Rhinolophus ferrumequinum: one gene and its partners. The main gene of each other region encodes a partner of the protein of the gene in region 2 in a complex. Links are inferred from orthologs where the notes say so. Each region holds a gene or a part of one and is shown on either strand. Other genes may lie near its edges.

Evidence for each region.
Region 1: EFTUD2 (region 2) and SRRM2 share a complex: the UniProt entries of both Homo sapiens proteins name them as parts of the minor spliceosome. The link is inferred for Rhinolophus ferrumequinum from reciprocal best matches to the Homo sapiens genes EFTUD2 and SRRM2.
Region 3: EFTUD2 (region 2) and ARMC7 share a complex: the UniProt entries of both Homo sapiens proteins name them as parts of the minor spliceosome. The link is inferred for Rhinolophus ferrumequinum from reciprocal best matches to the Homo sapiens genes EFTUD2 and ARMC7.
Region 4: EFTUD2 (region 2) and CWC22 share a complex: the UniProt entries of both Homo sapiens proteins name them as parts of the minor spliceosome. The link is inferred for Rhinolophus ferrumequinum from reciprocal best matches to the Homo sapiens genes EFTUD2 and CWC22.

The regions. Positions count from the first base shown.
Region 1 is NW_022680357.1:4,399,085-4,406,135, forward strand, and holds the start of SRRM2 (serine/arginine repetitive matrix protein 2), read right to left. Parts: upstream 3,015-7,051; 5' UTR 3,000-3,014; coding exon 2,991-2,999; intron 1-2,990. UniProt on the Homo sapiens protein: Required for pre-mRNA splicing as component of the spliceosome. As a component of the minor spliceosome, involved in the splicing of U12-type introns in pre-mRNAs.
Region 2 is NC_046304.1:39,769,661-39,777,280, forward strand, and holds the start of EFTUD2 (116 kDa U5 small nuclear ribonucleoprotein component), read right to left. Parts: upstream 3,010-7,620; 5' UTR 2,889-3,009; intron 1-2,888. Other genes in the region: CCDC103 (coiled-coil domain-containing protein 103), read left to right, coding at 4,324-4,466, 4,863-4,995, 5,636-6,085; Ig-like V-type domain-containing protein FAM187A, read left to right, coding at 7,110-7,620. UniProt on the Homo sapiens protein: Required for pre-mRNA splicing as component of the spliceosome, including pre-catalytic, catalytic and post-catalytic spliceosomal complexes. Component of the U5 snRNP and the U4/U6-U5 tri-snRNP complex, a building block of the spliceosome.
Region 3 is NC_046304.1:50,175,854-50,182,730, forward strand, and holds the start of ARMC7 (armadillo repeat-containing protein 7), read left to right. Parts: upstream 1-3,876; 5' UTR 3,877-4,218; coding exon 4,219-4,309; intron 4,310-4,399; coding exon 4,400-4,543; intron 4,544-6,026; coding exon of another isoform or gene 6,027-6,118; exon of another isoform or gene 6,119-6,564; intron 6,565-6,877. Other genes in the region: SLC16A5 (monocarboxylate transporter 6), read left to right, coding at 404-654. UniProt on the Homo sapiens protein: As a component of the minor spliceosome, involved in the splicing of U12-type introns in pre-mRNAs.
Region 4 is NC_046291.1:46,208,440-46,216,390, reverse strand, and holds the start of CWC22 (pre-mRNA-splicing factor CWC22 homolog), read right to left. Parts: upstream 3,019-7,951; 5' UTR 2,964-3,018; intron 1-2,963. UniProt on the Homo sapiens protein: Required for pre-mRNA splicing as component of the spliceosome. As a component of the minor spliceosome, involved in the splicing of U12-type introns in pre-mRNAs. Promotes exon-junction complex (EJC) assembly.

The DNA of each region.
Region 1 (7,051 bases), on a different chromosome or scaffold from region 2:
TGCTGCTCATCTTCATCCCTATGTCAACATGTGTCTCCACACTGAATCTCCTTTAGCTGCACAATTCTCCTGGATTCCTAACGAAACCTTCTTCCATCCTTCCCACACTGCTTTCTTTCCACCAAGTCATCATAGCTAAGCTCTTACAGCCTTTTCTCTCGATGTCCAAGAACCATTCCTACTTGCACGTAGATTTTCTCCTTTTTTCCACGCTAAGCAAACAGGGATCCTATTTCTCTCAAATTTCTCCACTGTCCCTTTATTCTCCTTTGGCCCAAATATGCACAAGTGTTGTCTCCACTAACTACTCTAATTCCTAACCTCTGGTAACTGAGGCTTCCAAACCAGGCACAACGAGCACCAGACCTGTGGCTCCCAAGGGCCTGCAGTGCAAGTCCAAAGACTCTTCCAAGAACTAATCCCAGGATTTCAGACTTCCCTGTTATGAACACAAAATGGACCAAACAGCCCTTACATATCTAACAGGTAGACCAGTTCTAGAGATAAACCAGAAGTATCCTGTGCAGCCTCACACCCAGACTAAAGGCCAACATGCACACCAGAAACTCATGAACCCTGGATATATAATTCTTGTCCTTTACTTCCCAGGTGAAGGACCATTTCCTCGATTCCAAATATTTATACCTCCTATCAACTACCCTAACGCCTTATTTCTTCAATTTCCTTCCAATGGGATTTCCCAAAAGACTGGCAGCTCACCCAAATCTCCCTAGCACCTGTTAAATATTACCTGTTTTCAACATAATGCTCTAAATATATCAAACCAGCCTCCTCTGTTCATATGGTTCCCATACCTTCTCTACGATTCTTTGCCTTAAACTTATTATGAAAACTCCTACTCTTTATACCTCACTTTCACTGATGTCAAGGTGTCAGCTTTCCCCATCAGTCCCCTGTATCTCATTTCCTAATTTTTCTCTCCCAGCCCTGCTTTATCCCTTTCATATTGTTATCTTCATGCCTCCCAGTAGGTTCTATCCTCTATCCCCTCAACCTGTCCCAACCCCAACATGACTCTGAAGAGCCCTCAAGCCCGTTTTTCTGGTTAGATTTCTTGGCTACACGTACTCATACTCCTTTCTCATGCTACATACACTCTATTTCTTTCTCCAACTCATCCTGGCCAACATAATTTCAGAGCATAAATGTACAAGGAAAACCACCCCAGGAAAAAAACCCAGGAACAAAGTGAATAAATTAGTTAAAAGTAGAGGGAAAACATACTGAATTGGGTAAGAGGAATGCTACATTTTTTAAACCAAAGAAAAAAGAAACATGCAAACGTCTGGGAAAATGTTCTAAAGTGCAAAAAAAGAAAGAAAAAAAAAGGACAGCAAGATGTTGATGGAAGGGAGCTAGCCCAACCTCCCAACTCTAAGGCTGGGTCCCTGCCCAATCCCAATAGCAGACTCGAGAGAGGGGAAAAAAAAGAAAAAAAAACCATACTAGGGTAAAGAGAGCGACAGATGAGGCTACATCTAGAAAAGGCCAAGTGAAAATGCACAATGAAAAACTTCTTTGTAACATGAAATCAGTTTCTGTACCTTCCAAACCTCACTTTCATTTTTTCAAATACCAATCCTCCCTACTCTTAAAACTGTCCTCTTTGCCTCTCTATACCCCACCTAATTTCTGCTTCCCTTGCAGAATGCTTCTGACCTGCAATTAATTCTTCGACTTAACCATTCACCCACACTTCCATACAGGCTCACACAATAATCCTCCCACTCCCTAGGGAGGTTAAACCAACAGCTAAGCAAAGGGTATTAAGTCACAATGAATTGGAGAACTTTAAGGGAATGAGCCAAAAAAACGGAAGGGAAAACAAAAAAAGGAAAACAAAAAACCCCACAAACCACAGCATCCAAGGCAGTGCTGGAAACACTAAAAGGACAAACCAGGGGTAAACACACACACACACCCCCCCCCACCAAAAACCAGTTAACTTTATAAAACAGGGAGTCTTAAACTGGGGTCCACAGACTACGGGTATGCAAAAGTTACTCAAACTAAAGATAGAAAATAAAAGCTACAAAAGAAGACAAAATACAATTTTTTCTACTGGAAAATTATCACGATGCCAAGCTAACAAGGCGGAGGAAGTGAAATCTTGAAATTCAGTATTAAGATATCCAAGAAGCAAAAGGCACCAAAAGGGATAGTGGTGGTGGGGAGCGCAGGAAAACGGACATAGGTAAGCACGGCATTCTCAGCACTGCTGCATTGTATAGCTGAGCGGACACTATGCAACCCAAAAACTTAAAATCTTAGTTCAAGAAAAGGCCTAAGCACACACACTTAAGACGGAAAACAACAATACAGACTCTTCGAATTTTTGATCCAGAAGACATCTTAGATAAGCGTGAACTGAAACCAAGGCTCAGGAGAGCTGTGTGCCAAATAATGCCTGAAACAGAGTCCAGTGTTGTCTTTCAAAGGAAGGGCTCCAACAGCCTCCTTCCTAGCTTTAACACTTTTGGGGAGATAATAAAAAAGTGGGGGGGGGGGGAGAAAAGCATCTGGTCTGCTCTAGGCTAAATTTTTTTATTAAAGGTTTGGGGCTTTTCTCTCCCTAATACTTCACGGCAGTTAACGAATCCGAACGATCTAAATATCAGGGGCATCTAGTTCAAGGCCTTCTCCACACAGACTGGGCCGCCAAGGCCTATTTTCGGCTTTCAGGGATGGGGGAGGGGGCTGCGCGGCGCCCCGTAGTCTGGGAGGCTCCCAGCCCGACCACAGGCCCCCAGGAGGGATGGGGAAGCCGGACGCCGGAGTGGCGCAAGGGAAAGGATCCGAGAACAAGCCCCCGTCGCTGCCGGCCCCTCCCCGCCAAGAAAAAGCCGGAAGGGGCAGCTGCAGAAAAGCCCCCGCGGCTGCATGCGTGGGGGAGGCTAGAAGCCGAGTCGCGCGCTCCCCCCTCCTCGCCCAGAACGCGCGCGAGACCGAGTGCAGTCGGCGGCGCGCACCGTTGCCATGGGGGAGGGGTGAGAGTAAAAGCCCGCGCGCGACAGGAACCGCGAGAGGGGGGAGGGGAGGCAGGCAGGCAAGCGAGAGCGTCCGCGCGAGCTAGGGGCGGCGAGAGCGCGTGCGCGCGGCGGCCTAGGCCGTTCTCCGCGCGTTTTGGCCTCGCGCCGGTGCCACTGCCCCTCCCCCACCCGGCTCGCGCGCTCCCTCTCTCACCCGCCGCCGCCGCCGCCGCCGCCGCCCGCCGCCGCTGCCGCCGCCTCCGAGAGAAAGAGATGCTGTCGCTGCCGCTACTCAAGCTCCCGAGTCTCTCGAGGCCTGGAGCCGCCGCCTCAGCCGACACTGACGCCTCCTCGCTTCCTCAAGGGCCGCAGCGGGCACCGACTGCGCCACTCGCACCTCGCCTGGGCCGCGCTGCACGTCAGCACAACTAACTAAGCGCGTCAGCACGCAGCCGCGCGCGTCGCAGAGCCCGCCGGGAATCGTAGTACGCATCGCGGTCTTGTGCGCAGGCGCCGAAACCCCACCGGGAAGTGTAGTTTCTTAAGGCCTGAGGGAAGTTCAATTCCCTTGCCGAAGAACTACAAGTCCCGTCGGCCAGTGCGAGAAAAGACTGGGGAGGGGACCAGAGCAGGCAACGTATTCCTGAGGGTTTCCGCTAGGGGGGAGGGGCACAGGGCCTAGCGCCACATCGAGCGACCTCTGCCTCCCGCCTTCGACCCAGAGCATTTTGGGAGTTGTGGTTGTAGCGTGGCCCGGAACCCGTATGTAGTTTCGGCTCGGAGCATGGTCGCCATTTTGTCTCCCCATGTTGGGAGGCGATGGCCCCGAGTCCAGGGACACTGCTGCTTCCGTGTGACTTCGGGCTTCTCGGGCGAATCCGCACCCGCGCCGCACTCGGTCTTGTGCACCTGGGAGAAGCCCCCTCAGACACCAGCCAGCGGGCACCCCCGCGAGCCCAGAGCCCAGCTTCAGGCCCAGGGCCCGAGGCAAAAGCCCGTCCAGCATGAGGTCTTTTGTGTTTTCAGCTTCCACAGTTGCAGACGGTGCTCAACAGGGTCGTCTGCCCCACGGAATAATTTTCTGTTACCTCTGGGTAAGGCAGCCAGGCAACAATGCAGTCTTCTCCTACAGAACCTTGGATGTGATACCTATACTTGGCAGGGTAAAAACGCTACAGTCTTAAAATTTTCACCCTTTTACAGACTGTCTCCTGTTAATTTTCTGTAAGTTCATTTTTTTGAGCCTGAGAGCCAGCCAGTGTCAGAGCAGAGCTGAAAAATGCTGGGATTCTCAGCTGGGCCAAAGTTTCAACCTGACACCACTCACTTGCCCAAACAGCTTGGACTACCACTCAGTGGTCCTGGTTATGGGGCGGGGCTGGGGGTGGGGTGGTGTGTCTTACACCCTCAAAAAGAACCAGCACCTGATAGCCATTGAGTTGTTGTTCGTTTGAATTTGAGGCATTGTATTCGCTATTACTAAGTTTCCTTGTTAATCTGCCCATGTAAGGGTAAACTTTCATCAGGTGCTGTAACTGGGAGCCCCACTATTTTGTGCAGGAGCTATAACTTCAGCTTACAGTACCCACGAGTTGTTCTAAGCCTGCCTCCTTGAACTTGGACACCTTGGGATAGATTCCATGAGCTGCTGTTTCCCCAGAAATAAGACCCAGCTAGACAATCAGCTCTAATGCGTCTTTTGGAGCAAAAATTAATATAAGACCTGGTCTTATTTTACTACAAGACCGGGTATAATATAATGCCAGGTCTTTTATTAATTTTTGCTCCAAAAGACACATTAGAGCTGACTGTCCAGCTAGACATCTCTGGAATAACTTATGGCAATGTGGTGTCAACAGCAGCTCACTGTCACCAACCTAATGTTCACTAAAGTCCTAAGTTGAGAGTATGGGAAGAAGAGAAACTATTCAAGAGAACAGTTTGCAACCACAGAAATAAAGCCTCCAGCAGAAACCAGTGCATTCCAGAGACAAAGGCGAGGCTGCATTTTATGGAGAAAAGTCTCTGCCCTTGTCCCTGATTGGTCCATTTCTATGCAAATGAGGAATCTAAATGTGCACAGTCTGATTGGTGCAAGTAGTACTCTCCTGATTGGTCAGAATTGCATGTGATGATTGGCTGTTATGGAGCTACTCTGATTGGTCAACAAAGATGCAAAATGCAGTGCAGTTCTCAGCCCATGGCTTGAGAGGCATACCAGGAACTCTTTTATAAGAGTGGGCTGGCAGGAGCACAGGAGCACAGTACACAAGGCTGAAAGTTCAGTTTGTGGCTTCTCCCCCTCCCCACCACCCCACCCCATCCCCTGAAATGCAATGAGCATGAGAGGCTTCTGTTGGCAATGGCAGCTAGACTCTAGTTATGAATTTGTGCTCAGTTAACCAGGAGGCGTCCTCCTTGGCAGATATATTCCTTGTTGAGGTCCATAATAGCAAAGCCTTTGTCTTTCTGTTTCCTTTCTGTTTCTGTTACCAGCCAGAGCTGGTATTTCTGGTTGAGAATATAGAGTGGTGGTTCCTTGAAACCCACCACCTCCAGTGAAACCTCCAGTGTAACCAAATTCCCAATGATATTCTTCTCTACTGAATATTTTGTGCTAAATTTGGTACGTGAATCAGTGCATTTACTGCTCTTGACAACCCTTTGGTGTAGGTGTTACTCTCCTTTTCCTATGGGGACAACAATGAATTCCCTTATATAGCCACAGTACTGTTTTCAAAATCAAGAACGTAACATTGAAACAATACTATTATCTACAGACCTTACTGAGGTATTGTCAATGTTATGATAATACCCTTATGGCAAAATTCAAAATCATGCAAGCTTTGTATTCAGTTGCCATGTCTTTTTTAGACTCCTTTAATCTGAAACAATTCCTGACATTTTTTTTTTGTAATTCACAACATTGCCATTTTGAAGAGTACAAGCTATTTATTTTGTAGAGTGTTCCTCAATTTCAGTTTCATCATGTTTAGATTCAGGTTATGCACTTTTGGCAGGAAGACTACAAAAGTGATGCTGTGTTCTTAGTGTGTAATATGAAGAAGTACATACTGTCCAATAGTTCCATTACTGCCAGTGCTGACTTTGATCATTTGGTTAAGAAGGGGTCAACCATGTTTCTGTGCTGTGAAATTTCTAGTCCACCTTTCATAGTTTGTTGTTGTTGTTTTTCAAAGTGTCTAGTGGGAAACGTATTTAGAAACCAGGATCTGAGTACTAGGTGTACTTATAGTTCCTCTGGCATCATTACCTCTTGGAGGATAGAGCTGGGAAATGGATGAGATGTATATACATTCATGAGTTTACACTGATATCTCCAAGCTAATGCTACAGGATTCATTCTATCCTTTCCCCTCTCCATATTTGTAACTCCAACCATGGAGAACTTGGCTTCATTCTCCAACCATGAAGAACTTGGATTCCATTTCCCCAATATACTTACTAATTTGTTCAATTCTAGAATTCTAAAAAGTAACTTCAGAATTGTTCCTTCATGCTCCTGGAAAATAATGCCTACCAACTAGAGTTCAATATTTGCTTAGAATTCTTTTTGTTTTTACCCTGAGGGCATGTTCTCTAAGTACTATTTTCAAAAGTTATTTGAGTTAGTTGGTTTTATTTTTTCTCACCCTTGAGTGTGTTTGTTATTCATTTGAAATATGCTTTGGTTCATTTTTTTCTGTTTGTATTACATTGTAGGATTTTTTTCTCCCATCATGGAGATTTTGTTTATTTTTTCAAATATGTAAAACAATAGCATGGTACCAAAAGGTAGATTTGTACAAAAAAGTATATTCAGGGCCGGCCCGGTGGCTCAGGCAGTTAGAGCTCCCTGCTCCTAACTCCGAAGGCTGCCGGTTCGATTCCCACATGGGCCAGTGGGCTCTCAACCACAAGGTTGCCAGTTCAATCCCTCGAGTCCCGCAAGGGATGGTGGGCAGCACCCCCTGCAACTAAGATGGAACACAGCACCTTGAGCTGAGCTGCCACTGAGCTCCCAGATGGCTCAGTTGGTTGGAGCACGTCCTCTCAACCGC
Region 2 (7,620 bases):
TTTTTAAATAATACTTTTTAATTTTAAAATAATTTAATACCAGAAAGTTGCAAAAATAGTAAAAATAACTTTATTTTTCCTAAGTTATTTGAGAATAAGTGGCTGACACAATGCCTCATTACCCCACTACTTTAGTGCAGGAGTTGGCAAATTATAGCCTGTGGCTAAATCTGGCCTGCTGCCTGATTTTATAAGCCCCCAAGCTAAGAATGCCTTTTACATTTTTAAATAGTTGGAAAATGAAAAATTTTTTTCATGATACGTGAAAATCAATCCATTGTATGAAATTCAAATTTCAGTATCTACAATAACTGAAACACCGTCAGTTTGGAACACCGTCACGCTCATTCATTTATATTGTCTACGGAGGCTTTCACACTGTAACAGCAGAGTTGAGTAGCTGCAACTGAGCCCATATGGCCCAGAAAGCCTAAAATATTTACTTTAGAAAAGGTTTGCCAACCGCTGCTTCATTGTGTGTGATTCCTACCAACAAGGACACTTTCTTACATAATCACAATGCAACCATCAAAATCAGAAAATTAATATTGACACATAACCACCACCTAATCCACAGACCCCCAGTCAAGCTTCACAAACTGTTCCAATAATGTCCTGCACAGCAAAGGATCCCACCCAGGATTGCATGCTTGCATTTAGTTGTCACGTCTTTAGCTTCTTTCACTCTGGGACAGCTCCTCAGTCTTTCCTTGACTTTTATGACTCGACCCTTTTGAAGATTACAGGCTAGTGAGTTTGTAGAATGTTCCTTGAGTTTGTCTGATGCTTCCTCATGATTAGATTCAAGTCATGCATTTCTGGCAGAAATATCACAGAAGTGATGCTGTGTTCTTTTTAGTGCATCTCCTAGTATCACATGGTACATGATTTTAATTTGTCCCATTAGTGGTGATGGTAATTTAATCATTTGATTACATCGGTGTCTGCCAGGTTTTTCTATTGGGAAGTTACTCTATTGGGAAGTTTTCTCTTTGCAATGAGTAAGTATTTTGTGGGTTTTCTCCACTTCAATTGCTGAAATTCTATTCAAAGCACAGTTCCAATGCCACCTCCTTCAAGCTTTCCTAGATCCCCAATCTCTCACTCCCCTATGCCGCTACAGCCTTCTGTACCTTTATCAGCATTGAATTGTTTGGAGTGGTAGTTACCTGTACCAATTACCCTCAGCAACAACTCTACAGCTTACAAGTAATAAACAACAGACCTGAGCACGAGTGAAGGGCCTGGGCTCTGGAATGGGAAAAGCTGGATATGAATCCTAACTTCGTCATTTAATAACTATGTATCTTCAGGTAAGTTACTTCACCTCTTTAAACCTGTTTCCTCAACTGGAAAATGGAGTGACTAACTCCCGTTGCATGAAAGGTTGTGAGAATTAAACAAAATAGTCTCTGTCAAGAATTTATCCGAGTCACAGGCTCAATAAATGTTAGTTAGCATTATGTTTTGGCCATTCTTAAACACAGGAATCCTGTGTTCCGTGTGCCCACTGGCCAACGTACCTTGCGGAAGTAGGAACGGGATAAATGTTAAGTGAATGCAATGTTTAATTTTGAGATACTGTTATTTCTTACACTAAGTTAATTCCTCCACCTCCCTCAATGCCACCTGTTGAGTGCTGGTTGTAGATAAAATAGAGAATTAAGAGCTCCAAGGACTAGTACCGTGTTTCCCAGAAAATAAGACCTAGCCGGACCATCAGCTCTAATGCGTTTTCTGGAGCCAAAATTAATATAAGACCCAGTCTTATTTTACTATATATTCTTATTTGCTTATAGTAAAATAAGACCAGGTCTTATCTAACATAAGACCTTATATTATATAAAGTCTTATATATAAGATCTTATACGTAACATAAGGTCTTATATTAATTTTTGCTCCAAAAGATGTACTAGAGCTAATGGTCCGGCTAGGTCTTATTTTCGGGAAAACATGGTAATTAAATGTAAATTATTATGGAAACTTTCACGTGCATATTCTTTTTACTTCCAAAGAGCTGTCCCATCTGTGCTCATTTCATTCTCCTAAAACTCATGAAGTGACTGAAGAAATTTTTATAGAAGGCTGTTCCGGGGACAAACCAAGCTCCTTCTGCTTCAGGGCCATTGTACTTGCTATTCTCTTCTTAAAGGCTCTTGCTTTGGATATTTATACCTTGTTCCTTCATGTCACTCAGGTCTCTACTAAAATGACACCTTCTCTGAGAAACCTTCCCTTGCCACTCTAAAAGAGTCCCCCATACACATACTCTCCAACTCCCACCTTTACTCTTTTGTTATTATTAACATTTATCACTACCTGAGATATACCTAGTCATGTGTTTAACGTCATCTCTCCAACTACAATTTAAGTGAGGACTGTTTTATTTTTTCCCCTCCTTCACTTAGAACGGTATCTGGCACAAACAGGACCTCAATATTTGTTGAGTGAATGAATGACTCCAGCCAGGCACAGAGAAGAGGGCTGACTTGCCCACAGGTGCACAAAACTAGTGACTTGCGGTACCAAACTTCACTGCGGCTTCCCGCTATAATGCAGGCTCTCAAAGGAATACAGAATAAGGACGGAGGGAGCTGGGCAAAGGAGTGAAGAAGGCACGGATGGAAGAGGGAGTGAAAGAGGGGGGCTGAACAGTGAGAACGACCCCTGCCCACGTAAGGGATTTTACGGATGGACTACACTGAGGGAACCTCGGGATCTGAGTGTGTGTGTGTTGGGGAGAAGGTGTGTTTCATTCCCTTTCCCGCTCCACGCCTCAATTTACCGATCTGTAAAGTGAAAGGGGCAGATCCTCCAGATCTGACATTATGTAATTTCCCATCCCACCCGGAGCCACCTCCCCACGCCGCTGACCCACGCCAGCTCACCTCCCGCCTGCTCAGCCAGCAGCTCCCGGTAGGCCGCTGCCCCGCGCTTCCGCCTCACACGGCCGCCGCCTGCGCCCGCTGTCCGGAAGGACCCCGAAGCCGCCGCGGTCGCGTTTCTGCCGCGGAGGGCAGCCCTCTGCCTGAGGACCAGCTCGGAGGAATGCCGACCGCGGACGCAGGAACTGGCAAGGTGGACTCGTGGATCCTCAAACCAAGGCGTGAGCTTTTCCAAATTGAATGAGGCTTGAGGAGGCTTGAATCTGATCAGGCGCCTCGGGACCATCCTGAACGGGGGCCTTCAGGTCGATCACGTGGGCAGACTGTTGGAGCAGTTGCTGGGCAACCACAGCTGCTGCGGGTGGTAGGCTAAGCTACCTTGTTCCCGGCGTATCTGGGGATCCCCAAAGAAAGCAAGGGAACCAAAGCCAGGGCTGCTGGGGTGAAGGTCAGAGGGGCGGTAGGCTTAGTTGTTCTATTTATTCAATGACTGGGTAGGGCTCAGAACTGGACAGGAGCCGGACACTTGAGTTCAGTTCCTGGCCAGCCCAGCCCACTTCTTGGTGTTCAGCTTACCCACGTTGAGGTGGAAGGGGAGGACTGTGGGGTTGGTTGAAGACCTCTCGGTTCTTTGTCCTAAGGCTGTTGATGACTCCACCACAAAATCTAGCTCAATGCACCAGGAGTCTGAGGTTCAAAGGGGTCTCACAGCAAGTAAACGCCAGAGCCAAGACTAGAACCCATTTAGGTGATCTCCCTATAAAACGGGTCAATCAGCCTCAGATACGCGGAGACTGCAGAAGTACAGTGATAGAACTAAAGAGGTCGCCCAAATATCTAGGGTCCTGTGATCCAGCCCTGGACTGGATGGAAAGATTTGGGGACAGGGATCATTCAGCCCCTTCGCCTGCCACTTCTACTTGTTTTCCTGCTCAGTCCTTGCATCTGGCTTGGGTGAAAAATATCCTTCCCCATTAAAGACATTTAATTATGGATGAAATTGTATCCCTGGGCTCAAGAGTAGCTAACAATAGTTCTGCTTTTGTGCGAGGTCTTCTTTCATAATTGCTATAGAGTGAGACCATGTGGAAGAGTGAAGGGACTGAATTTTGAGATCCAAATGCTTCCTCAGCTGAAGCACCAATAATAAAATATTTTTAGAGGCAGAGGACAAAATTAACATTGGGCTCCAAATTGAAATTCAGGACTCTACTCTATTTTGAGTGACAACAAGTCTTAAGTAAGTTCTCACTGTGTACGTCAGCTCCGCTCACTAGAGAATCAGATTTTTGTAACACCCCCCCCAACATAAGTGACAAGATATCCAGAGTGGTTTTTGGTTATTTTGTGGCCTGGCAAAGAATCCAGATGCACACTCTTCCCCCTATTATTGATCCTCCATTGATGTCCATTCCCTTTGCCTTCCCAGGCACAGGCCATGGAAAGGAATGACATCATCGACTTCAAGGCTTTGGAGAAAGAGCTGCAGGCTGCACTCACTGCTGATGAGAAGTACAAACGGGAGAATGCTGCCAAGTTACGGGCAGTGGAACAGAGGGTGGCTTCCTATGAAGAATTCAGGTTGGCTTAATGCCATTTTTCAGACGCTCCTATTATGGTGGACTTTAGTGGATAAGGGCACGTACTTTGGTGTCAGACAATTCTGAGCTCAGCCCTGGCTCTACCCTCTGCTACCTGTGTGGTCTTGTGCAAGTTATTTAACCTCTCTGTGCCTTTATGCCTTATCTGTAAAAGAGAGTAACCATTATTATGATTAAATGAGTTATTATATGTAAGATTTTTGAGCACGATGTTTGGCACATGGGAAGTGCTTAAAAGCTGTCAGCTATTGTTGCTGTTGTTGTTATTGTCATACTGGCCTGCCAACAGATTCAGCCAATATCATGCAAAGTCCAGCCACCTCACACCCACAGACACCATTAGGTCCATCCCCTAATCTCTGTCCTTTGTCCACAGGGGTATTGTCCTTGCATCACATCTGAAGCCACTGGAACGGAAGGATAAGATAGGAGGAAAGAGGACCGTGCCTTGGAACTGTCACACTACTCAGGGAAGGACCTCCCTGGATGAAACCACTGAGATCTGTCAGGTCGGTGAGGCCCAGCAGAATTCTCTGCCCTAAACCTCCAGTCCTATCCTCTTACAACACGTACCTTTTCCTTATTTCTCATGTTAAACCAACAGAGGCAGGTTTCTGCCTCCAATCCCAGAAAGGAAAGCACCCAGCAGATGGTGGGGTTGAGCTACATTGGGCAGAACAAGTCAGGAAGGTGGCCAGGCCACGCAGGTCCCCTCCAGGCAGTCCTTTGACTTGCATGCACAGATCAGATTTGGGGTGCTCCAGGTTATATGGTATATAGTATAATGGTCCTGTGGCAGTGTTGGGAGGGCGACCCAGCCTGTCAGACCCTTAACACTCACCTTGAGGTTTTCAGTCATCCCTTCGGCCCTGCTCAGAGTAAACCCTGACTTATTCTCACATTCATCAGTAAGAAAATCCTGGTACAACTAAGAATCTCAAATCATGGCCTGGGTTCTTTGGGACCCTCTCTCCCTGTTCCACCGCTAGTTTCCCTCATCTGAGAATGAGTCCCCCAGCCACCACAGCCTTCCCAGTGCTCAGAGAGCAGTACCAGAGCTAAGGTGAAAACCCACAGGCTTCCCTCACTCTTACTGTCGCAGAACAGCTGGAAGAGCTCTGAATTCCCTTTCCTTCTTTTGTGAACTAGGAGAAAACACTGTTGCAGCCTGAGACCTCAGCAGAGTTCTACCGTGATTGGCGGCGATACTTGCGGAGTGGGCCAGAGCGCTACCAGGCACTGCTACAGCTCGGGGGTCCCAAGCTGGGACACCTCTTCCAGACAGATGTGGGATTTGGACTTCTAGGGGAGATGCTGGTGGTGCTGGCTGATCACGTGAGGCTGGCTGACCGGTCATTGGTGCTAGGGATCCTGCACAGCCTGGCCGGTACCGGGCGCTTCACCTTGAACCTGAGCCTGATGAGCCAGGTGGAGAGACAGAGCTGCAGAAGCTTGTTTCAAAAGCTGCAAGCCATGGGCGCCCCCAGGCCCGTGAAGGAGGGGCTCAGCCCGGAGGAGCGGGGTCTGGAGCAGCCTGGTGGGCTCCAGGAGGAGGAGAGGCTCCTGCAAGAGCTGCTAGGGCTGTACCAGGTGGATTGATAGGACCAGTTACCTTCAGAGGTCCCCAGTGGTCGCTGGAGGCATTTTTTGATTGTTGTCTTGGGGTTCTGCAGGACTGTAGTAAGAAGTCCACACCTAATTCCCTTTCAACCTGGAATTTTCAGAGTAAAAGCCCGAATTCAATCTTTCCCTCTTCTGCAGCCCCTCGGTGGCTCGATACTCTAAATTGTGTGGGTCCACAGGATGGTCAAGGGCCCAGGAAATTAAAAGAGCTTTGCTTCCTGCCCTTAGTGTTTGCCAAGGCCGTGGCCCATAGCCCTGAGAGATGGGCACGTGCCCAACCAAATGCTGGCCACACCAGTTAACAGCCTCCACCCAAGAAACGAAAAAGCAAAATCATTAATCTTCCATGATGAAGAAACACTGGCCTCCATAGCTCTTAACGAGACTGTTTATAACCTAAAACCAATGAATGGACATTTAATTGACAAACGGTCACGGTCAAATGCTATCTCATCTGAGGCGCGGTATTTTATCCCAGGGGCTGAGTTCCTGGGCAGATTGAGCCTGGAAAAGCCCCACGCCATCAATTTAAGTCTGGCCAGCCTCCCAGGCTTCTTCAGATGGCCAGATGGGCAGGTGGGTGGGTTTCCTTCAACTCTGGGATTACCCAAAGGGAAAACCTACCCACCAGGCAGGCGGGGCAGGTCCTGGAGCAGGGAGGCAGAGATTTCCATCTAGCCCCTGCGCCCTGCTTCTCATTCCAGTTTCTCCTGACCCATTCTTGGGTGAGTGTCAGGGTTCTAGAAAGGAGAGAGAAGGCCAGGTTCTAGAATGGTTTTCCCTTGAGATCACATCTGTCACATTAGAAGGGCATCTCGTACATCAGCTGGGAATCGGTTGCCTTGCCTTTGGCCACTTCCCCTGCAGATGGTTGCTTTTCTTGGCGGCTTAATCTTTTCTTAATATAGATGCCTCCTCTGGCAGTCATTTCTAGAAGCCCCCATACGCCTTGAGTGCCTTGGTTTTGCCCTACCCACTCTGAGCCTTCCCTCGTGCACGCATGAATCTGGCCCACACCACTGTGCTGCTGTGGGCGTGGGGGAGTCTCCAGGCCTTTGAAATCGTGGAGAAGGAGAATATTTTTCAGAGGACCCCTTGCCCCGCTTTCCTGATGTTCGACAATGCAGCCTACCTGGCCGACATGAGCTTCGAGCTGCCCTGCCACTGCAAGCCCGAGGAGGTGTCTGCGGTAGTCTGGTACTATCAAAAGCATCTCGGTAGCAGCCACACCAAAGTGCTGACGGATTTTGATGGGCGCGTTCTGACCGAGGCGGCCCAGGTCCGGGTGGGCAGTGACATGCTGGTCCGCTTCAGCATTCGCATGTTCAGCCTATTGGTTTTCCGGGCCCAGCCCGAGGACTCAGGCTTGTATTTCTGTGGCACCCGCAAGGGGGACTACTTCTACGCCTACGATGTGGACATCCAGAGCAGTGAGGGAATGGTGGCCACCTTCAAGGACCAGGGCCAAGAGCCCTTTGCCGACGACTACTATGGGAGCCTCCACGTCTTCA
Region 3 (6,877 bases), about 10 Mb from region 2:
AGTGGGGAGTTGCAAATGCCAGTTTCCAAGGGCATTCTCTAAGCCAGCAAGCAGAGAGAGCTTTCCAGGAGGAGGTGTATGGGTGGGCCCAGGGCGTGGCCGAGCAGATATCCCAGACTCCACTGGCCCTTGTCTCCTTGGTTTCCTGCCACCAAGGGGAAGAGAGACATGGCCTTAAGTTCCCTTTGGCCTAAGGACTCTTCCTGCCTGGACCAGAAGAGGTTTAGGGTTTCCTCTCCTCCTTTCATTCAACGTTATTTATTGAGTGCCTACTACAATTCCTAGAACTGGGGATACAGCAGGGACAAAAATAAAGTCCCCGCTCTCTCAGAGCACACAGTTTAGTGGCAGGGGGAGGCCTGGTGGCTCCAGACAGTGGACTAACTTGCTCTCTATCCTCCAGGCTTCCTCCTGGACACAACTAACAACAACTTCAGCTACGTTTTCTACATGTCAAGTTTCTTCCTCATCTCAGCTGCTCTCTTCATGGGTGGCAGCTTCTGTGCCCTGCAAAAGAAGGAGAAGCAGGGCAGGCAGGCAGAGGCGGAAGCAGCCACCGTGGAGGCTGCCCCACAGCGGGCCCTCACCGTGGAGGGCACAGATGGATCTGAGAAGCAGCCATCCACTGAAATCATGTATGTGACCAGCGTCTGAGCCCCGAGGTCAATGAGTGACCACTGCCTCAGCCCAGGAATGGGATCTCCAGCTGCTTCTCCAGCAGCTGGGGTGATGAAGTCCTGCTCAGAAAGCCTGAACCAAAGACCATCTCGGCTCTGCACTTTGGGACTCAGCCAGGAGCTGGGACCTTGGAGGCTGGCCTCCGAAGACTCTGGGTCCCTTCCAGTGAGCAGAATCCAGGAGCAGGTCCTCCTGACTTTTCCTTGGGCACCAGAGTACTTGGGGCCCACAAAAGTGGGTCTGAGCCCTGCTGGCGTCCATCATGGCCGGCTCTGCTCAGCTGGCTGCCCACTGCTGCTGCTACAACTAACACACTGGACCCTCAAGTCCAGTCTATATGCCTCTGATGTGATCTCTTTGCCTTCTCCGAACTCCAGACAGTTCCAAAGAGCTTGCCTGTCCTCCGAAGCCCTCCTGCCGCCCTTCTTCCCAGTGACCCAGCCCTTGCCCTTAGGGTGTCCCCAGGACAAGTTGCTGGGTCTCATGTTGACTGGAACCTTGAAAAGAAAGGCCTTGTGGCCTGTCGTGGTGGAAGGCCAGGCTGAGGAGTTGGCCTGGATCCAGGGTTGAGAAAAATTAAATGTCTGGTGGAGTACTTGTCCTGTCATTTGTGCAGAGAACTGGAGGGGAGCCCCTGACTTGGGTCCTAGAATCAGTGAAGTCAAGGGGCCCCCTGCACACCAGCAGATCCTGCTCCAGGGTCTCCCTCCCTCCTTTGTCCTCCCCCCCCCCCCCCGCCCCTGGTATCTTGGCTGGGAAGATTAATGCTGGGCATGGGGAAAGCCAGACATTTGACTGACCAGGTGAGAAGGATTGCTAGGCAGGGCCCAAGGACCTCTGAAAATGGAGCTGCTTTTGCAACAGAAGCCCTTCTATTCCCCTCCTGCCACCCTGTTCTCCCTGCTGGGTTAGAGGTATCAACCCTAGGGTGGAGTAAGTAGCTGTCTGGGCCAGCTGCCAGTCCACCCCTGCTCCCTGTTGGCCTGTGCCTGTGGCCTGGAGGCCAGAGCTCCACACACACACACACTCTGCTGGTGCCCTTCCCCGAGGTCACCCCCTGGGGGCTAGCTGTCATCAGCCCAGTTTGTTCTAGCAGGGTACCAACCCAGGGAATGGAAAAACAGTTTGAATTATACACAAAAATGTTTCCTGCAGCAGGTTGCAAACCCTGAGAACTAATGAAGCAGGAAAACAGGCCTGGAGTAAGTCCCCCTCCCCCACTTAAGTTCTCCCAGCTTGGCAAAGGCTGCTCACGCCCTGAGCCTTGTTGATTCAGGCTTAACCAGGCTCCAACAAGAAAAACCTTATCAGGGGGATTGGTTTTGTTTTCATGACCCAACTCTAGCCTTCCTCCACGGGTCCAGCTGGCGTGAGTAAGCATCCTTGGGGACGTCCTGTCTTCTCCAGGACGCTGCCATGAGTGCCCCCTTATGGCCACAGAAGATAGTGCAGAGGTGAAGCAAAGGGCTCTAGGCTGGGAGAGACCTGTGTTCACATTTGATTCCGCCACAATTTGCTATGTGACTTGGGGCAAATTGTTCATCATCTCTGGGCTTTGAAAAAGGGGGAGGTTGACGTGGATAAGCTAGTCTCTTCTAGTCCTGTGCTTGGCCACCATCCACAGCTTGTGCACTGAAGGGGGAAAGCTTCATTTTACCAAGTCCTACCTCCTCCATCTTAGTGGAGGGGACACGGAGGTAGTTGGGGCTGGTGAGTAGGTAAATGCTTTTGCTGCTAGTAGCTACCAGGCTTTGAAATGTACATCCCCTAGAGGCCCACTTCCTTAAAACAGATTTCTTTTAAGGAAAAAATATATCAGTGAACATTCAGCATAAGGAATTTTGACCTTATCTGCTGCTGGGCAAGAGTAGCAATATTCTCTAGGCAAACTTCCTTCAACAGATATTTATGAAGCATCTACTGTGTGCCAGGGACTGGGCAGAGAGGAATAAGAACCGGTCGCTGCCCTGAGCACAAAATCAAGGACTGAGAATTCTCCCTCAAGGAGAAGGGCCCCTAGGAACAAATGAGCGAGATGGGTGGCCCATCTGATTCCAGAACACACAGCTGATTTTCTGGGAATCCTCTAGAGAGGATCTGGAGCAGTTCCTGCGCAGCATAGGGTGGAAAGCATTTGCATCCTGTCCTCAAGCCTTTGTCCATCCAGAGGCAGAGAAGCCCCCTGGCTGAGATGTACTTCCCCAGATCGCATCAGCTCCCCAAAGAAGCAGAAGGGCCAGGTGAGGCCATCAGTGGCCACCGCCCTCACGAAGCAGCCATGGTACCCAAGCACCAGACTGTGGTGATAACTCCTGCCCCAGGGGGTGTGTACAGGGCAGGGGCTGGCCACAGGGATCGGAGCGCACGAAGGTGGGGCCTGCTCCCAATAAGGCTACGGCAAGCTGGAATATGGTGGCTGCTCTGTCCTCATGCTAGGCTCAGGCCCAAAGGAACATGGTCCTTGCCTTCAGGAAGCTCACAGCCCAAGCCCCCTTCACCCGTTCATTTCAAGCACGATGGGAGTACGGCAGGGCCACTTCCCTCCCTGGTCCTTTATCCCCTGCGCCTACGCGGTCTCGGTCACACACCACCTTCCTGAGGAGCCCCAAGAAAGAACTGGGCCAAACAGCTTCAGCATTCAGGGCTCTACGACCCAGAAAGCCGCCAAGACGGTATATTCAGGTGAACGGAAGCTCCTACTGCCTGCCGGTGCTGCCCCAGCGCTCTCCACTCGCCTGGCTGACAAAGAGCTTTACTCAGTTCCCGATATGTCTGGCCAGAGACAGAGATAGCGGACTCAGCTCAGGGTTGGGGAACAGGGGGTGCCAGGTTCGCCCGGCCTTTTGGAAAAGCCGACCAGAAGGTATCCTCAAAGGACCCCTATGGGGGGCACAGGAGCCGACGCCCACTCCGGAGGGGCGTCCCTTCGAGGAGGAGGTTGGCCTGCGCCGCCTCGTCAGATGCAAGGGGGTCTGGAGATGCTTCTGCATAGTTAGCCCCCACAGAGGCGCCCGTGAGCTGCTAAGGGTCCTGGGGGGGCTGCTCAATACACGCGCAGCACCCCACCAGCCGGCGCCGCACCCCACCAGCCGGCGCAGCACCCCACCAGCCGGCGCCTCAGGGCAGAAGCGCAGTGCGCACGCGCGAGCTCAGCGCCGGCCCCGCCCCTTTCGCCTTCCGGGGAGGAGGTACGCGCCGCTTCCGCCGGAAACCCAGAATCGAACCGAAAATCCAGCCCACTACCGGGGCTGGGTGGTCTTCTTCCTCGCCCGGCGCGCAGTCGTATCCTAGTCTCCCGCGCCCCGATTTAGGTTTTCACGCCCAGCTCTTACAGGATCCTGATAACCCGCCGCATTCCCCACATCTCAATTCCAGCTGCAAATTACCGCAGAACCTGAAGCCAGGAAGGGAACCTATTTCCGGTCCCGGTCCGCCTTTGCCCGCACCGGTGAGGCCCAGTGAGGTTCTCGCCGGGCTTTCCGGCTTCATCTGCCACACTCCTCCCTGCCTGTCCCTCGTGGACACCCCGCCGCCCCGACCATGTCCCAGAAGCCGAAGGTAGAGCCCCACGTCGGACGGCTGGGATACCTGCAGGCGCTGGTCACGGAGTTCCAGGAGACGGAGAGCCAAAGTGAGCGACAGGGTGGGGGCCAGGGGACGGGCCAGGGGTTCGGCGTGACAGCACTCCGGACCTGGCTCCAGTGTCGCTTTTCCGTTGCAGACGCCAAGGAGCAAGTCCTGGCCAACCTCGCCAACTTCGCCTATGACCCCAGCAACTACCAGTATCTGCGACAGCTGCAGGTCCTAGATTTATTCCTCGATTCGCTGTCTGAGGAGAATGAGACCCTGGTGGAGTTTGCTATTGGTAAGGACGGGTCCGGTCCCCCAGATGCCTGATGGGCTGTGGTGAGATCAGTGAGTTAGACGTGAGTAGTTGGGAAAGGAATCTCGTAGTCCCTCAGCTGCGGCGATGGCCGACCTTGGCGACATCGGTGCCACCTTCGCGGTTCACAGATTGTCCGAGTCACGGCTACCTTGAGTCAGGTCTGGAACTTAAGCGCAGGACTCCCTCTTCGTGTCTGCCTTCCCGCCTGCTGGCTGAGTGACGAGATTGTAAGTGGGGGAAAGGATGGAAGCCACTTGGAGGGAAAAAAGTTGAGTGCTCTTTTAAACATCTTTATTTATTTATTTAAAAAAATTTTATTGGGGAACAGTGTGTTTTTCCAGGACCCATCAGCTCCAAGTCAAGTCGTTGTTTTCAATCTAGTTGTGGAGGGCGCAGCTCACTGGCCCAGTGACCTTGGTGTTGTTCTGAGCGCTGCGTTCTAACAAACGGAACCAACCGGCCGGCTGCCCTAAACATCTTTATTTTAATGTTTTAACATCAGGAGGAGTAGACGTGACTTGGAATGGCTTATGGTTCCTGTGTTTGTTTTGGTCTAAGATCTATTGAATCATTAACTGGACATACATTTATTGGGCCTGAACTGTGTGAGCAAGGTGCTGTTCTAAATGCTGGAGAGATGGCGAACAAGTTGAGAAAGGTCTTTACCCTCAAGAATTTACATTCCAGTAGGAGGAGACTGGTGGTGAGCAGACAAACCAAAAAGCTGAGGCTCTTAAGGAAATAAACAGGATGATGAGACAGAGCAATAGGAGGTAGGTGCAACTTCCGTTTTGGCCGTCATCGGAAGGCATTCTAGGCAGAGGTGCATCTTGGGTGAGGACCTTAATGCAGAAGGAGCCAGAAGGAAGGCTGCTAGGGCAGGATTGTGATGAGTGAAGCAGTGAGTGGTGCAAAGTGAGGTTAGAGAGGCGGCACCAGAACTTAGGGTCTTAGATCTAGGCCATGGGAAAGAGTTTGGAATTTATTCTAAGGGCAAACAACAATTATTTTTTCAGCACGCATCTTTCAAAAATAACATGTCTTTATATAGTGAAAGGAATCTTATGTAGGGAAAGAAACCTCCGATGAGAATTCCATTGTCACCTAGTACCCACTTATGCAAATTTCTCTAATAGTTCCCAAAGAGACATTTTTGTTGTTGTTTGTATGAGTCAGGATCCAATTCAGGACCCATGCATTTAATCTGTTGCACCCTTAGATCTCAATCTCTCTCTGTCTCTCTTTTAAATAAACTTTGTATTTTAGAACAGTTTTAGCAAAATTGCAAAGATAATACAGCGAGTTCCCATAAATACCACACCCAGTTTCCCTGGTATTACCATCTTACATTAGTATGGTACATTTGTTACAATCAATAAACCAAAATATTGATGCATTATTAACTAAAGCCCGTACTTTATTCAGATTTCCTTAGTTTTCCCCTGTCTGTTTTCTGTTCTAGGATCCCATCCAGGATGTCACATTACATTCAGTTGTCACATCTCCTTAGGCTCCTCTGGGCTGTGCCAGTTTCTTAGACTTCCCTTTTTTTGACAGTTTGGAGGAATACAGGTCAGGTATTTTGTAGAGTGTCCCTTAGTTGGGATTTGCCTGATTTTTCTTTTCTTTCTCATGATTAGACTGGCTTAGGGTTTTTGGGGAGGGTGACCATGGAGGTAAAGCGCCATTCTCTTCACATCATATCAAAGGGATGTGCTACCGACATGACTAACTACTGTTGATGGTGACCTTGGTCACTCGGCTGAGGTAGTATTGGTTAGGTCTCTCTACTGTAAAGTTACTCTACCCCACGCCCTATCTTTCCATATGGTACTCTTCGGAAATAAGTCACTGCATAAGTTATCTTTTATTCATTAGTAGACCCTTTTTTCATAAGACTAATTGTCGAAGGATCCAGACCAGTTCTGCAGAAGCTCCCGCCTTCCAAATTGTCTAGACAGTTGCCTCTTTATGGTGTCATTTAGATTGTTCCGTTGTCTTCTGTCCCCTTTATTTCCTGTAATTTAGAAATTAGATCAAAAGGCTTGATAGAATCAAGTAACACTTTTTCTTTCCTGAGTACGTCATAGATAAGTGTGATTTCAATTTTTAAAAAGCCATCCAGGTCTGCCCCTAACATTTGTGTTACCTGGTGCTAGAGTTCCAATGGGGGTCGCCCCTCCTTCTCTTCTAACCAGGACAGGTCTCACACATGGTGTGGAAATCCCAGCTCTGTTCACATACCCCCACACACACCTGCCCTGGAACAATTCCTTGGATTTACGAGTGTAGACACCAATAATGGGGTTCACC
Region 4 (7,951 bases), on a different chromosome or scaffold from region 2:
TCACACAGCACAGCTCTGAAAGTGGGCTTTCTAATTTTTATTTAAAGAGCCATTTAGTGAACCACGTTCTAAGTTCTAAGGAAAACTTGGAGGTGCTGGCCTCCACCAAGATTTATCGAGTAGTCCCTAGACACATAGCACTGCATTCCACCACAGAGGCTCCTGTTGCCAGCTCTCCTGAGAAAAAGCGGCCCTGACAAACTAATTCAGGGAAGGACTGACTCCTAAGGTAACTTTTCAGAGGGAAGTGCTGAATTCTGTCTAGCCTGATTCATTTAGGAGTCAGGCTCAAAGTCAAGTTAAACGTGAATCTTCACCAGGTCTCCCGTTCCCATTAGCTAACCCATTCTATAATCACAGAGGCCCATATGTCCCCAGGCCAAGGCAGCTCACACCATGTTTTTGGTATCTGTTAACTGGGAAAGTCTTACTAGCTTGGCTACAAACAGCAAAGGCTTGCTTTAATCCATTGCTTCCTCTTCTGATGTGTTATTTTTGAAGAAAATGCTTTGAAAGTTTGTTGTCGGCATTGAAATGTCTCTTCAATGTCCACCTGAGAAATGCATATACTAAAATAAAACATTTAGGGTTATAGATTTAGTAAGTCTGGACGTTTGCTGAAACTAATACGCCAGAGGTCTTTTTGTTCCATCACCTTCCCATACTAGGATTCTCAGACTTGAACAGAAAAGGAGAGAAATGCAATAAGGAAGCCCTCAAAGTCATCAGTGGGATCAGCTATATTACCAATAACCACTTTTTCCCTAAACTAACTCTAGGCTAGCCACGACTTCTAACAAGTTAGGGATACACCACAGAATACAAAATGCAGTCTAAATACAAGTGGGCAACAAACAGAAAATCATGTTCAAATTAAGGCATGGGCATTTTAAGTAACAATGTGTTACCATGTACTATCTTAGGTGGTCTCAGCTACAACAGCCACTGTAGACCACTTGGCAATGTTCAATCGTCAGGAAGGAGAGTTAACCTCTAACAATCCAGCAGCTGCGAAAACTGACAAAGCTAAGAAGGGTGGTTTAGGAAAGACGGTTAAGTAGTCTAGGAAGTGTCAGAATTCCGGAAGTGATTGGAGCTAAACTATCCAAAGTAGGGAAGGACGTGGGGGCACAAGTAATAGGGTTGTAGCTCAAATACTTTGAAGCAAGGAAGGCAGCAAACCTGATTCTGGGGGTGGGGCGGGGGCTGGACCATATCAGATCCCTAGGAGATGGGCTGGAACAGTGGCTTTCAAACTAACAGGCATGAGAATCACATGCATGGTTTGATTAAAAAGAGACTGATGGACTCCCTACTCCCCAGTTTGATTCAACAGGACTAGGATGAAGCCCAATAATTTTCATTGCTTGAACAAGTTCCACAGAGCTACTGATGCTGCTGATTCAGGAGATATTCAGAATCACTGGGCCAGGTTATTAGATCAAGATTCTTGGCTTCTGAAGTCTCAGAGCCTCAGCCAGATAAGGCTCCGTGAAAGTGGCATGGACACTTAAAAGTGGAAGGGCAACCTTCATAACCAAAGAACAAGAACTGAGGCACAGAGTGACTTCATCAACTCTACCATAGTAGTAACTGTAATATAATAGCTAAACCTATACGCCAGGCACTGTGCAGAGTGCCTTATACACGTTATTTTTCTTCATCCTCAAAACAAGGTATTACTGTTACACACATTTTTCAGACTACGGATGTTAGGTAACCTGCCCCAAGTGACAGACCTAACACGTGCTGAAGCAAGACTGAAATCATGGGTTCACTAGTCCATCACCCAGTATCAACACAAGTAGGTCTCCTCCTCCTACAGATGCTGCAGGTTAACAACTCCTCTTTACATCAAAATCACAGTTAATGCCAATTGTAAATCTGTGTCTCCAAAGTAGGATGGTAATTGAGGTTAACTCCTCAGTTCACAGGCAATCCTAAAACAAGACAAGTCTAAATACAGTTAAGGCAGGTTACCTGGTCTTCTGAAGCCTAAGATTGCTTGTTTACCTATTTTTAGTCTGTGGACGCCTAAAAATGCAAAGGGCACTCTTACCGCACTTTCAATCACCTAATTCTTGCATCTGAAATAGCCTTTCCCTAGTTTTTTTCCTTCTCCATTTAGCTCAAAGACCTGTGAGGATTAAGTGAAAATAGGTAAAGCGATATTGCAGTTAAAAGACTCAGTGAAATTAACCATTAGATTACCATTATATATGCAAGTGTACTGTAGGATTCTGAGCTCGGTAAGAGGAGGAGAATGGAGACCCAAGTTTGGCAATTATCACATTTTTGGAGGTAGATCAACTTATGAGATGGTCAAGTATGACAGAGGAAGAACTCCGCACACTGAGGAACAGAGTCCGCAGGACTAAACACTAGGAAGAATCACTGTTTACGCGGCAAATGTATGAAAAAGAAACGACTAATGAAATTTTAAGGAGCAGTCACGGGGAAATTACGCCGGAAAAAGGCACAATGAAATTTACTCTATTTTTCAACGAACTATACAGTTCATTAATCCTACTCCCATAGTCTGGGGCCGGGCACTGAGAAAGGGGCCTTGTGGAAGCCGAAACGACTAGAGAGGCTCGAAGGAATCCGCGGCCGAAACGCACTGCACACAACAGGAGAGAGCCAGCGTTGGTGCTGGATTTCAGGAACAAATGCAGTGTGGAGAGACAGTACCAGGAACCTCGGAGGAAGCGAGGTCCGTCCGCGCAGGCGGACAGGGAGTTTCCCACCCGTTCAGACTCCTCCGCCCGACCAGCTCTGACACCTCAACCTCGCCAGCCGGCGCGCGGCCGGAAGAGAGCCACGCGCACCCCGGCGGCACCGATGGCCGCACCGGCAGTCCCGCACCCACTCCTGGGCACCTTTCACCACCCACCCTGTCCGGCAACCCACCACCCACACTACGGTTCGCAGGCTGCAGCGAGTCTACGGAGTTCGATAGTTACCTGGAGCTCCACCGCGCCGCCATTACACCGGATACACGTCACTTCCCCTTCCCGGCCCCGGCAGTAGGGGGAAGGCGGGACGTGAAATGCATACAAACCTGATGCTACATTGGCTTTGATACGTTATCCTACTTATTTTTTAAAAAAACACATCATAATACCAGATTCAGAGCAGTGTGTCCGGCCACGTTTTCCCTTTCCCAAGGCGGCGACAAAAAAGAGAAGTTGATACAAACTACAAAGTCCAGCATCCACCGCCTGTGAGGGTGGAAATGACGTAAGCAATTACTGTCTTAGTTTTGAGAAGGCCGCAATGGACGCCGGGAATTGTAGTTCTTCAGATAAGCGACGGAAAGTGCTTTCAGGCGGCTAGTCAGGAGCCTGATGGTGATTAGGAAGAAGCAAAATATACTTCAAAACTATTTATTTGCAGTTGTAAAAAGTAGACCGTAGTAGTAATTTTCCGTGAAAATCTTAAGAACAGCAGACACCCTTTTCAGACTTTTTACGGTAATTAGATCAAGAACCCATTATAAACAAAAATATTTCCAACTGTTAAGTGCCTACTAAATTCCAAGATGTCAAGCCCAAGTAAGTGGGAGGATATTGGACCATAAATGGCGTGAAGTAATGAGGAGAAGCTAATTCTGTAGAAGATGATGCTTCTATTTTAGGGTAAGGTACCAGCTGGCCAGACATCATGATGAGAAGGACATTTTTTGGCGGACTTGGAAATAGCTATCTGTGGAGAGATAAGAGGTAAAACATCAATGTGTTTTAAGCTTTACTTTTCAATAGTAACAAAACCTAAAGTGTCACTTACTTGTTACTGTTTTGAGATCTAGCATTCCCTAAAACGACTGTATCTTTATGTTCCAGAACCTTGTCTAAACCAGGCCTGGTTTCTCCAAACACTTCTCTATTACAGTTTTAGTGTGCTGGTGTTACCAATCCTTTCCTAGAGGCAGAAGAGTATAATGCTACGGAGGACACTGGAGCCAGACTACTTATGTTTACGTCACGAATCTATTGATATACTTATGGATGATTGACCTTGGAGTAGGTTATGTCACACTGTTGTGTGTGATTCCTGATTGTTAGGAATAATAGTAGTACCCGCCCCACAGAGTAGTTTTAAGAATTGAATTAGTTGATACAGTTGTTGTGGTTGAGATAATTCCTCCTATATAATAGTATTATCTATTTTTTTAATATTTAAGAGATTTGGCTATCGGTAAAAGTGCATTTTGGTGTCTTAAAATATTTAAGTGAATTGATTTTAGTTGTACCAATACAGTACACAGAAGATGAACCTGGTAAACGTTTGTATGCTGTGGGGACAGAGCCAGGAGTGCAGTTTCCAGGCTCTCGGCCTCACGTGGAAAGGTGCTGGTTCAGGAAGTAAATGGCCATCAACTGTGATTGGATAGCCATCAGCTGTGGCTAGTTGGCTGTCAGCTGTAACCAGTGAGCCATTGGCCACTAATATAACTGCTGTGGCTATGCTAGCAGCAAATGGGGGCTAGCAAGAAGAAGGTGGCTAGCAAGCGCAGAGTGTAGTTAGCTAGCAAGTGAGGTTGGTTGGCAGAGAGAAATGGACAGCAGGTTGCGGATAGTGTAGCTCCTGCTTCCTGTGTCTCCAACCCAGCCGCTAGCGAGAATATAGTGGTATGACTCCCCTATCTGTGGCTCTGTGGGTGTTCCTCTTTGGCCTCAGCATGTCCTGCGTTCTTAGGTGGGAAGCGGGAGCTGAGACCCCCGCATGACACCCTGCATGACAATGCACATCTGAAAAAAGCACAATACCACCTCTACTGTTATAAAAAGAAATAGGAAAGTTAGAGTTGAGCCTAGGGGAGCTTAATAGAGCTAGAAAAGACTTAGGTTTATCATTTGGGTCTTCCAGGAAGCAAACAGTGAGATAGAGTTAAGAATGTAAAAAAGTGAAAGGAAAAGGGAGGAAACTAGATGGGACAGGGGTATCATTTATCCACACTGCAATAAAGTGATAGGCCCTTGTAACACAATCTTGCTCAGTCATTGGCTGGAGCCACTTCAGGAAGAGAGGCTTCAAATCAAAAGCTGAGGTGGACTTGAAAATGATAACAGTAGAAGGCTGTCACCTAATGACACTCTTCACAACTAGGCATGTTTTCTTGAAGAGGTGTCTGAGCAGCACACTTCTGTGTCTGTCACAGTCCACCAGGTAGATCCACTCTCTATACACATTCAGGGAACAGTTCCTCCAGGGTTTCAATGGGCCTCTTCCTGAAGGGAAACCGAGAAAAGAAGTTAGGGGACAAACTACAGCCCCCATCTTTGCAGTCGGTCCGGAGCTACAGCTGAACTCACTATTTTTTTCTTCCACTATTCCTTCTAAATTTCCCTCACTCTCATGTACCACCTCTGTGGGTCTCAGTGATTAAACAGTGGTGTGAAAACCCTAATTCCTGAGAAATTGGAGCCCCTGGTAATAAACTCCTTCTCAGGCAGGTGTTGCTGTACTTGCCCATTTACAGTCATGATGGTGCCCAAGTGAATCCCCTTAATTATTAAGAGGTACCCAAGTGAATCACCTGAATACCACACATATGCTTACTTTTCCCCATTGTATAACATCAAGGCTACCTTCTCCTGCTGATTAGCGTTAGCTTCTCCTGCCAAGCATTAAGCCTTCTTCTTGCCTACTTGTCACTGAACTCAAGAAGTGCAAAGTGTCTAGGCAACAGATGATGTTCAATTCAGTGGGACTCTTGCTGAATCCCCTAGCAATACTATGCCACCTTTGGGGACTAGGACCGCTAATTCCACAAAGATCAGCGTTGCAAGAACGGGAAACACTACATCCCCTAATGGGTCATTGGGAAGGATGGTGAATTGGGCTATTCCTGTTTTAATCCTTTGTTTCCTGGACCTGTGCACTGTTCTTGTTAGGGACCCTGAGCTGCCATACCAAGGTCTATTGCATCCTGGGGAACAGCACCTCATTCTTGCTGAGTATTATTTCCTAGCCGGTGCTTGAACTGCACCCCTAGGAGGCCATTCCAGTGCTCTATTAGGCCAGCAGCTTCTGGGATATGCAGCATGTGATACAACCAGTGGAACCCATCATCACTGGTACCCTCCTGCAGCACCTTTGCTGTGAAGTGGTTCTCTGCTTGGATGCTACATTGTATTATATTCCACATATGTGGACCCCGCATTTTGTAAGTCCTCAGATAGTGGTGCTGGATGAAGATTGTTTGGTAGGAAATGCAAATATATACCCAAAATAAGTAATCTATTTCCATGAGGTGGAACTGCTGTCCTGTTCAGGATGGAAAGATCCCAGTGTAGTCAACTTTCCACCAAGGGGCTACATAATCTCCTAAAGGAATGATGACATAGTAGGAGCTCAATATTGGTCTCCTTTGCTGGCAGGTTGAGGTTTCAGATGAAGCAGTAGACAGGTCAGCTGTGGTAAGTAGGCTGCATGCTGATGGGCCTATGCTTAGATTCCATTTCTGCCTCCATGGTCATTTCATTCAAGTGTCCATTGTGCCAGCACTGGGATGGCCACTAACAAAGACAGGCTAACATCATCCAGCTGAGTAATTTTGTTTACTTGGTTGTGTAGTGTTTCTTCCATGATGTGTACTTCCTGAGACATTGATATGTGATAATAAAATCTTCGTACTTTTTGCTCACTTTTCACACTAATATGTTGTGTATCCACATACCTCTAATCCTGTAAGACCTCAGTGTCTGCAGTCTTTTAAATCTCTTCCTTTTCAGCCCTCTGACCAGCCAGCCAGGCTACTTGCCATTGCCTCTTAATCTGTTTATGTCCCAACATTGGGTCACTTTTCCTTCCACACAAAGGGGATGACCAGGTGCACCCCTGACACTCTGCCCATTAGAAAGACTGTCCCTCTCCTCTGTTTTCAAGGTTGTTCCTGAGTGAGGCTGTCAGTCATGGAGCTGCTGTCCAATTTCAACTTTCATCCACATACTTAGCCAACTCATCTGTAAACTAAGTTCAGCCATTTTTTCTTCTTTTAACTAATTGTTGAAGACACTACTCCTACTCCATATGGCCATCAGTGTGAGCTGAGGGGTACTGATGCAACAATCATGCAGATTGTTTGTGCCCTCTGGTCTTCTTTTTGCTTCATCCCAAATGGAATTCTTTTATCTTGTGATGAATTGCAACAGGGCCCCTCAGAATTTATAACAGGATGTGTTCAACGAGATACATTTCATTTTGTGTCACTTGGTATCCCCTGGTCAAGCATTGTCTCTTTACCATTAGCATGCCAAGAGCTAATTTTTAAAAGATGTGCAACCTAGCTCCAGAACCCCAGGGATCCGACCTGGGATTTTTCTACTAAGATTTCCATTAACTCCAGACTGCATCTTTTCTAAAACTCACAAGTCTGACATAGAATCTGCCATATTCTATACCACTACTCAAATCTGCTGCAGAGCCCTTTCTTTTGCCAGTTTGTAAAGCTGGGAGCTTTTTATGTCACGTAGCACATGGGCCAGAAAAATATTCCTCAGCGTGGAGTATGTTGCTTACAGAATCCAAAGCAGCCTCCTGGGAACTCTGCTTTCTCCTGTCTTGTAGGGGATGCAGCAATTTGTCTTTTATTTTGAAGGGAATGTTCTAGCACTGCCCTGAACACTGGTCCCTTAAAACCTTTCATGAAGGGACAGGTTCCTGATTCTTTATAGTGTTAATGTCCCATGCTGTGGACCACAAGCCTCCAGCCTGCTAGCCACCTCTTGTTCAACCCGTTTAATCAGCATGATGTCATTGATAAAATGGATCAATATGATGCTCCATATGATTTCTAGATGATTCAGGTCTCTTCGGACCATATTATGTGAAAGACAAAGTTAACAGAGCCCTGGGGCTAAAGTATCAGTGAATATTATTGTTTGTTTATTTTATGTGGACATCAACTATTTCTAATTGTCTTTCTTGATAGGGATAGAAAAGAATG